Linked DNA regions of Rattus norvegicus. The protein of the gene in region 2 binds, or shares a complex with, the protein of the main gene of each other region. Links are inferred from orthologs where the notes say so. Each region holds a gene or a part of one and is shown on either strand. Other genes may lie near its edges.

Evidence for each region. Proteins that work in one complex are often made in the same cells at the same time.
Region 1: the proteins of Cul1 (region 2) and Cand2 are in contact, whole or in part, in a cryo-EM structure (PDB 8VVY), measured with the Homo sapiens proteins. The link is inferred for Rattus norvegicus from reciprocal best matches to the Homo sapiens genes CUL1 and CAND2. Residues at the interface, in NP_001357589.1 of Homo sapiens: Val31, Thr33, Arg34, Gln35, Met37, Lys39, Tyr42, Met111, Asp112, Trp123, Arg127, Phe128, Val132, Asn181, Leu184, Glu188, Gly193, Glu194, Thr195, Asn197, Thr198, Arg199, Ser202, Gln206, Val209, Glu210, Gly212, Leu213, Asn214, Lys221; in NP_001155971.1 of Homo sapiens: Asp21, Phe22, Phe24, Met25, Asn61, Gly62, Glu63, Gln65, Asn66, Leu67, Glu100, Gln101, Asp104, Asp156, Asp160, Leu189, Ala190, Lys193, Arg194, Glu276, Gln280, Asp343, Asp344, Trp349, Lys350, Arg353, Glu389, Ser492, Ser493, Thr494.

What each region holds. Positions count from the first base shown.
Region 1 is NC_086022.1:150,514,155-150,517,801, forward strand, and holds part of Cand2 (cullin-associated NEDD8-dissociated protein 2), read left to right. Parts: intron 1-374; exon of another isoform or gene 375-455; intron 456-1,029; coding exon 1,030-1,153; intron 1,154-3,415; coding exon 3,416-3,647.
Region 2 is NC_086022.1:77,614,210-77,617,856, forward strand, and holds part of Cul1 (cullin-1), read left to right. Parts: intron 1-482; coding exon 483-575; intron 576-2,808; coding exon 2,809-2,856; intron 2,857-2,932; coding exon 2,933-3,015; intron 3,016-3,441; coding exon 3,442-3,547; intron 3,548-3,647. UniProt on the Homo sapiens protein: Core component of multiple cullin-RING-based SCF (SKP1-CUL1-F-box protein) E3 ubiquitin-protein ligase complexes, which mediate the ubiquitination of proteins involved in cell cycle progression, signal transduction and transcription.

The DNA of each region.
Region 1 (3,647 bases), about 73 Mb from region 2:
GTCCACAGTGTGCCTTCTGTGTGTCTCTGTTTCCCCTCACCCAGTGTTTACGCCTATGTTAAGTGTCTTTATTAAGTAGTGGCACTTGCCTTTAATCCTGGCATTCTGTACATAGAGGTGGTAGGTCAGTATGAGTTTGAGGTCAGCCTGATCTACATAGATCTAGGACAGCCAGAGCCAAATAGTGAGACCTTGTCTCAAATTTAAAAAGAGAGAGGACTCAGAAGTAAAAAGACCTACTTGGGTCCCTCAGTAGTCAAGAATTCAGACACAGATCAGTTTAAATTTATGGCTGCCTGTTTGTCAGGAATGCTTCCAGCCACAAGAGCTCAAAGTCATAGCAGCTTTTTTTTTTTTTTTTTTTTTTTCTTTTTTTCCGGAGCTGGGGACCGAACCCAGGGCCTCGCGCTTGCTAGGCGAGCGCTCTACCACTGAGCTAAATCCCCAACCCCGAAGTCATAGCAGCTTAAAGACCTTCTGTGATCTCTCTGGAGGGATGACTGTTGCTGCCGAGCTTTCTCCTCCCCTCTTCTCCCCCCTCCCCTGCTCCCCTTCTCCCCTCCTCCCCTCTTTCCTTCTTTTCTGCTGGAGACCAGTGCAGTGACTTAGATGCACTAGGCCCAGCCACTCCCATTCTTGTTGCAGCTCTGTAACTCAGTCTGGCAGACTCACATTCTTCATCCATGTTCTCCCCCCTTTGTAAGAAAAGACATTTCCCAACGGATTCTATCGCACTGGCCAGAGCTGGGCCACTGGCCATTGCTAGTAGCAGGGGACTGGGAAAAGTTTAACTTGTCTCCCTTCCTGGTGTGTGGGCCAGCCAGCAGCTTAGCCATTGGTTTGACCCTTTCCTTAGAGCTGATTCCTGCAGTTGTTCCTTAAGACTTGGGTCAAGCTTGGACCACTGAAGCCCAGGCTTTCCTAAACCACAGACATCTGGGGACTATGGGTTCAGAAGCACAGGCAGGCCAGAGTTGGCAGCTGCCGTCCCGAGCCAGGGCCTTACCCTTCCACTTGTGCCCTGCATAGGCTCGGGGCTGGCTATCAGTGTGTGCCGCAAGATCACCGGCCAGCTCACCAGTGCCATCGCCCAGCAGGAGGATGTGGCTGTGCAGCTGGAAGCCCTGGACATCCTCTCCGACATGCTGAGCAGGTGAGCGAGGCCACTTGAAGCCAGAACGACGGGGACAGGCAAGACCGAGATGAGTGGCCTGCAAGGCAGGTCCTGTGCTCAGGACGCCTTAGTCACCCAGCAGCTTTGCAAAGAGAGCAGCAGTGCCACACCATGGAACAGGCTCCCGAGGTCATCAGCTCCCAGTCACGCAGTGAACCTCTGGTGACTGTGCGTTTGTTCTGGAGGCAGTAAGGTTAGGTGCTAGCATGTTGGTCTGCGTTGTTCCTGGGGAGGAGTCACAGGCAGGTAGCCAACTAAATACAATAGTAGAGTGATTAAGTCAAGTACAGGGCCCAAGCTCGAAAGGCCCCGGTCCAGCAGCCGGACAAGGGCATCTACTGGAGCTGAGTCTCTGTGGGCCCTGGGCATCACAGAGGGCAGTGGCAGGAGAGGATTGTGAAAGGGTTCAGGTTTAGGGCTCAAGGGGACACTGATGCAGATTGTCCTTTTGATTCAAAGAGTAGAAGGGCCAGGTGTGGTGGTGCATACCTTTAATCTCAGTACTCCAGAGGCAGAGGCAGGCAGATCTCTATGAGTTCAAGGCCAGCCTAGACTACAAAGCAAGTTCTAGAACTGACAGGGCTGTTACACAGAGAAACCCTATCTTGTGGGGAAAGGGGAGATCCAACATGTTGGGCTCTAAGAAGAGGTTAGGCCTCTGGCAGAGTGGGGTTCCTTAAAGGTTTCAAAGGATTGAGAGGTTCCACACTATATGGGTGATACCTGTCTTTCAATTGGTGCTTGTAATCAGGACATCTCTGATTCAGGATGGCAGGGGTGGAGCAAGGATTCTTGTACTTAGAGGAAGGCGTAACTTCCAGGGTGTGGGAAGAGGGGCCCATTGATGAATATGTATGCATCATACTGTGTTAGTCTGGGACCTATATACAGTGTTAGCAGCATGTGTTCGTGACCTAAGCAGTCTCTGCTCTGGGTCCTAACAGATTTGAGCCCCGGGCTTGTGCGTGGTGAGCTGATTGGTATGCAGCAATGAGGCTGGAGGGCTGGGTAGGAGCCCCCAGGACACACCCCCATCCTCCTTTTCTCCCTCCTTCTGTAGTCTGGACAAGCAGGGCTGGATAGAAGTGCCTTTGTTTTTATGTTTGTGGTGGGATTGGGCCCAAGGTTTCAGTCATGCTGGGGAAGCACTCTACCACTGAGCTTTGTCTCTAACCCTCGCATGTTTTACTTTTGAGACTCCATCTCTCAGAGTTGCTCAGGCAGGCCTTGAACTCACTCTGTGATCCAGACTGGCCTTAAACCTGTAACCCTTCTGCCTCAGCTTTCCTAGCAGGTGAGACTATAGGCCTGTGCCCCTAAGCCTGGCTTGGCTTCCATAGGTTGTCTGAAGAGGTGGACTCCACAGGGTCTGGAGTGGTGAGACTAGAGGATGACCCTACAAGTCTGTTTTAGGAACCAGGAAATGAGAGGATTGAGGTGGGGTGCTCCGGGAGCAGAGAGGTACAGTAGGAGGTGATGTGTTCCATTTGGGCATGTTGAGTTTGTGGTGCTCGGAAGGCATCCCTCAATCAAGAGCTTCAAGGGCCAGAGTCTGTCTTTATGATCTGACTTCCAGCATAGAGCCTGTGACAAAGTAGATGAGTAAGTAGTCAGGCTGCAGCAGAGTGACCTGGGCTAGACACAGGAGAGTGAGGTCATGGGGGGCAGCAGAGCAAGAAGAGAACGACCTTGGGACACGGGGGTCAAAGTCACCCAGGGCTGTTTGACTGGGGGAGGAGCTGGGGCCACCGAGAGCCAGGGAGAGACTATATGAGGACTGCCACTTGTCTTGAGTTCAGAGCTCAGCTTATCCCGAGGACACTGGGGAGCCACCGCAGGATTAAGCAGAGCAGTGATCAAGTCTGTTAGGTGTTATTTCACTCGAGTCTCAGAAAGGAGAATAGACTTGCAGGGATGGGTATAAAGGCAAACCTCAGGCTTCCAAGAGTTTGGAACATCCTCACCGGAGCCCCCATACCCACTGCACTTCTCCCTGAGCTGAGAATTGGACACCTGGGTTCAGGTCATAGACTCACACTGTTGACTTCAAAGCCTTCAGAAGGCAGTCTCACCCCACTGACTGCCCAGTAATAAGCAGTCACTCCCCATCGTGAGAGGTACCTTCTCACTTTCCAATGGTCTTTGGATATCGTGAGTAGGAGGTACAGAGAAGATGGGGATGTGGATCCTAACTGCCTGAGTGTGGTGCCTGGCCTGACATTGCTCTCATCCTGTCCCCAGGCTAGGTGCCCCATTGGGCACCTTCCATGCAAGCCTGCTACACTGCCTATTGCCTCAGCTGAGCAGCCCGCGCCTGGCTGTGCGCAAGCGCACCGTTGTCGCACTCGGTCATCTGGCAGCCGCCTGCAGCACGGACCTCTTCGTGGAGCTTGCTGATCATCTGGTGGACCGGCTGCCTGGGCCACGGGCACCTGCCAGCCCTGCAGCCATTCGAACCCTGATCCAGTGCTTG
Region 2 (3,647 bases):
CTGGTAATGATAATTTCTTTTAGCATTAAACTTTAGATGGGTGACTCAAACTGCTCATTAGTTAACCTTTCTACTTCTACATTGATAAGATAATTAAGTAACCATTATACCTGGTATGGAGGTCTCTGGCATCTTGAACACACACATAATATATACCTGGTATGTACCCCCACCCAGGGGGTACTACTGTGCATAAAAACTAAACTCATAATTCATGTCTCTACAACTGGTGCCTGTTTACACAAGTGTGGATAGGCTCTTATGTTTATGCTTGTGTAGAGGATACATCGCAGGAGAAAACTGAAAGCCCTTTCAGTGTTTGAAAGGTGTCTTTAAGGAAAATGTCCAGTCTCCTGGCCTTGTGACATTTTGTATTCCATCTCTTTTGTATCTGAAGAATGCATTTTGTGAAAGTAGGTTGTACCTATGAAGACCTTTCCTGTGTTTCACATTTCCTCCTTTCTTTTCTCTGGGCCGTGAAGGCGTCCACATTCCAGATGGCCATCCTGCTTCAGTACAACACAGAAGACGCCTATACTGTGCAGCAGCTGACCGACAGCACTCAGATTAAAATGGTAGGTCTGCCGTCTCATCCTTGCTTGGTACTCTCAAGCTGCCCGTTCTTTGTTCATTGGGATGTTGTAGAAAGGGGGAGAGGGCACAGGTGTCTTTGACTTAATAGATGTTAACTGCATGGAGAAAAAAATGAAAAGTAGTAAAACTTGGACTAAGGCACCGGAAGACCAGGCCAGATCCACCGAGGGCGTTTCTCTGGGACCTCTGACACTTTGGATGGCAACAGGACCACTGAATCCTCATGGTTGAGTGAGAGAAGTTTACATAATGGGCAAGGTTCAGTTGAGCCAAAGGTTAACCTGATTTACCTCAAACTAGTGTGAGGAACACCCCCACATTTCTGGTGCTGGTGGCACTGCAATATGGGTCATAAAGCTCCACGTGCCACTCTCATGATTTTATGACTTTACAGTTTTTAAGCAAATAGTTTTGGAGAAAACAGGTACTTAGACAGACATGATGGCTAGCACTTGTGATGGTAGTGGCCAGATTTTATTTAGTCAGTAAACAGCTTTATATAACCCCACTACTATCCCATTCTAGAACATCTCCACCCCTTGAGAGTAGACCATAACTGTTAGCAGTGACAACTCTACCTTCCCACTTTGCCCAATGCCTCTGATGCCCATTATCCTCTTCTGTGTTGTACCGAAGCAGGAGTGGACTCTTCTACTCTGGACATGACATAAAAGTAGAATCAAGCTATATGTCTCTTTCTCCACTTGCCTTATTTTCACTTATGTATATCCTGTCTGCAAAGGCTTAGCAGATAGTAGTATTTATTCATTTGCATGTGTGTGTGTACGCACACGTGTGCACATGTGTGTATGGATACATTTGTGTGTAGATATATGTATTTGTATTCACGTTTGTTGTAGACTAGAAGTAGATGTCCCTGTGTTACACTTTCATCCTTTCTTTGAGGCAGAGTCTCTCAGGGAATCTGGAGCTTATCCATTCAGCAGGGCTGCATAGCCAGTAAGACTTAGGGTTCTCTCACTTATTCCCCACAGTGCTCCAGACAAGGCTAAGCCTTCACATGAGTGCTGGTGAACAGATACACGAGTTTAAGTTTTTTCTCATTCACTTTATTTTTTGTTTGGTTGGGGTTTTCTGTTGTTGTTGTTGTTGTTGTTGTTGTTGTTGTTGTTGTTGTTGTTGAAACAGTCTCCTATAATCCAGGGTGACCTCAAACTTACTAAGTAGGCAGAGAATGGCCTTGAATTAACTTACTGTCCCTCTGCCTTTACCCACACATCTGTACTCTGTAGTGGATTACTGACATGCTCCACACCTGTTTTTATGCAGTGCAGGAGATTGAATCCAGGGCCTTGGGCACGTTAGGCAGGCAAGTACTCCACCACATAAGCTGTAGTCCCTCCCAGCCCCCATTTTATTTTTTAGTTGATATGTCCACTTACTGATGGATACACTGTTGTACATACATTTTTTATTTTTATAAAACCTACTCTTATTCTTTGCTGGCTGTTTGAAAGGGCTGACAGGTCTGCCTCTCTAGTCTCTACTTGGCCTTCTCCTCGATGCCACACCAGTCTTTCTACTTTTTTGTAGTATTAGAATTACCTTATGGGTCTTTAGCCGCCCTCCTTCAGGCCCCAGTTCATAGCTGCCACTCCTCTGACAGACCTACCTTCATAGTCTCAGACCAGCATGGGAGCCTTGGTTAAGAGTGCAGGTGAGGAAGTTAAGTGTCCATGAAGCTTGATGGTGCTGGGAATCACTGGAGCAGCTGATGCCTCAGAGAAGTCACATGATGTACTTGAGTTCACTAAAGCCAAGTTGGCAGCAGGTCAGCTGCCCCTGAGTTTGAGCTTGGTCATGAATGTAGTGTAGCATTGGTTCGGCCGAAGCTCCTGGTTGCTTTGTTTGCATGTTCAAGGGTGTGGTTTAGTGGTAGAACACTTGCTTGGCACCCAGCCCTGGGTTTGATCCCCAGCGCCACATAAATGCCTTTTGAAGCTTCAGACATTGAAGAAGTGAATCATTTCCTGTAGGTTTCATAGAAGAAGCAGGCCACATATTGTGTGCGGTCGTTTTGGGAAACTGCATTATTGCCTTTGAGTAGTGGGTGCTTCAGTCCATGTCACTTTCTCTAGGTGGGCTCTGCTTTGGGGTGATGACTACTCCTGTGAGACAGTGATCTGAGTCTCTGGGACAGCCACTAGAAAGAAGTATTCTTCCTCCTTGCTCACCATCTTTCTTTAATTGCAGGACATTTTGGCACAAGTCCTACAGATTTTACTGAAGTCAAAATTGCTGGTATGTTTGTATACTTTGTGTTGCTGGAAGTAACCCTTACCCTGGGATGTGCCTAGTAACAGTTATTTTCTTCTAGGTCTTAGAAGATGAAAATGCCAATGTTGATGAGGTGGAATTGAAGCCAGACACCTTAATAAAGTTATATCTTGGTTATAAAAAGTAAGAAAAATCTAATATATAGCTGTTGGTCTTCCCCCCTGGCACAGGGCATACTTCAGAAGCCAAGGGACTCTGCATAGGCGTGCTGACTGCCTGCAGTCCTCAGTGCTGCTTTGTTTAATACTGAGTTTGATTTTCTCTTTATTTTGAAAATAAGTTTAAGTGACTCATGACATGTTTAGACCTTTATATCAAGTTATTTTAGTGTTATTACACTTCACAAAATTGAGGGTCAAATGTCACTTCAGTCACTGCTCTTGGTAAAATTACATACGACTGATGGAGGAGCAGTTCCCAGGTGGTTGGTAGAAATGATGTAGAGAGATGGGTGTGAGCCACCTGCCCAGTCCAGAGAGGCAAAACATGCAGTGTTGAAAGACAGGAAGCAGGCTTTTTAATGACCTGTTTCCTCTGTTGTCTTGACAGTAAGAAATTGAGGGTTAATATCAATGTACCAATGAAAACTGAACAGAAGCAGGAACAAGAAACCACACACAAAAATATAGAGGAAGACCGCAAACTACTGATTCAGGTGACTGAACCATGTCTGCACTGTATGCTTAGGGAAATGTGTTGGCCTCATCTGTGCTCTAACTGGAAAGAGCTGCCAGAGTGACACAGCTTAGTAACGG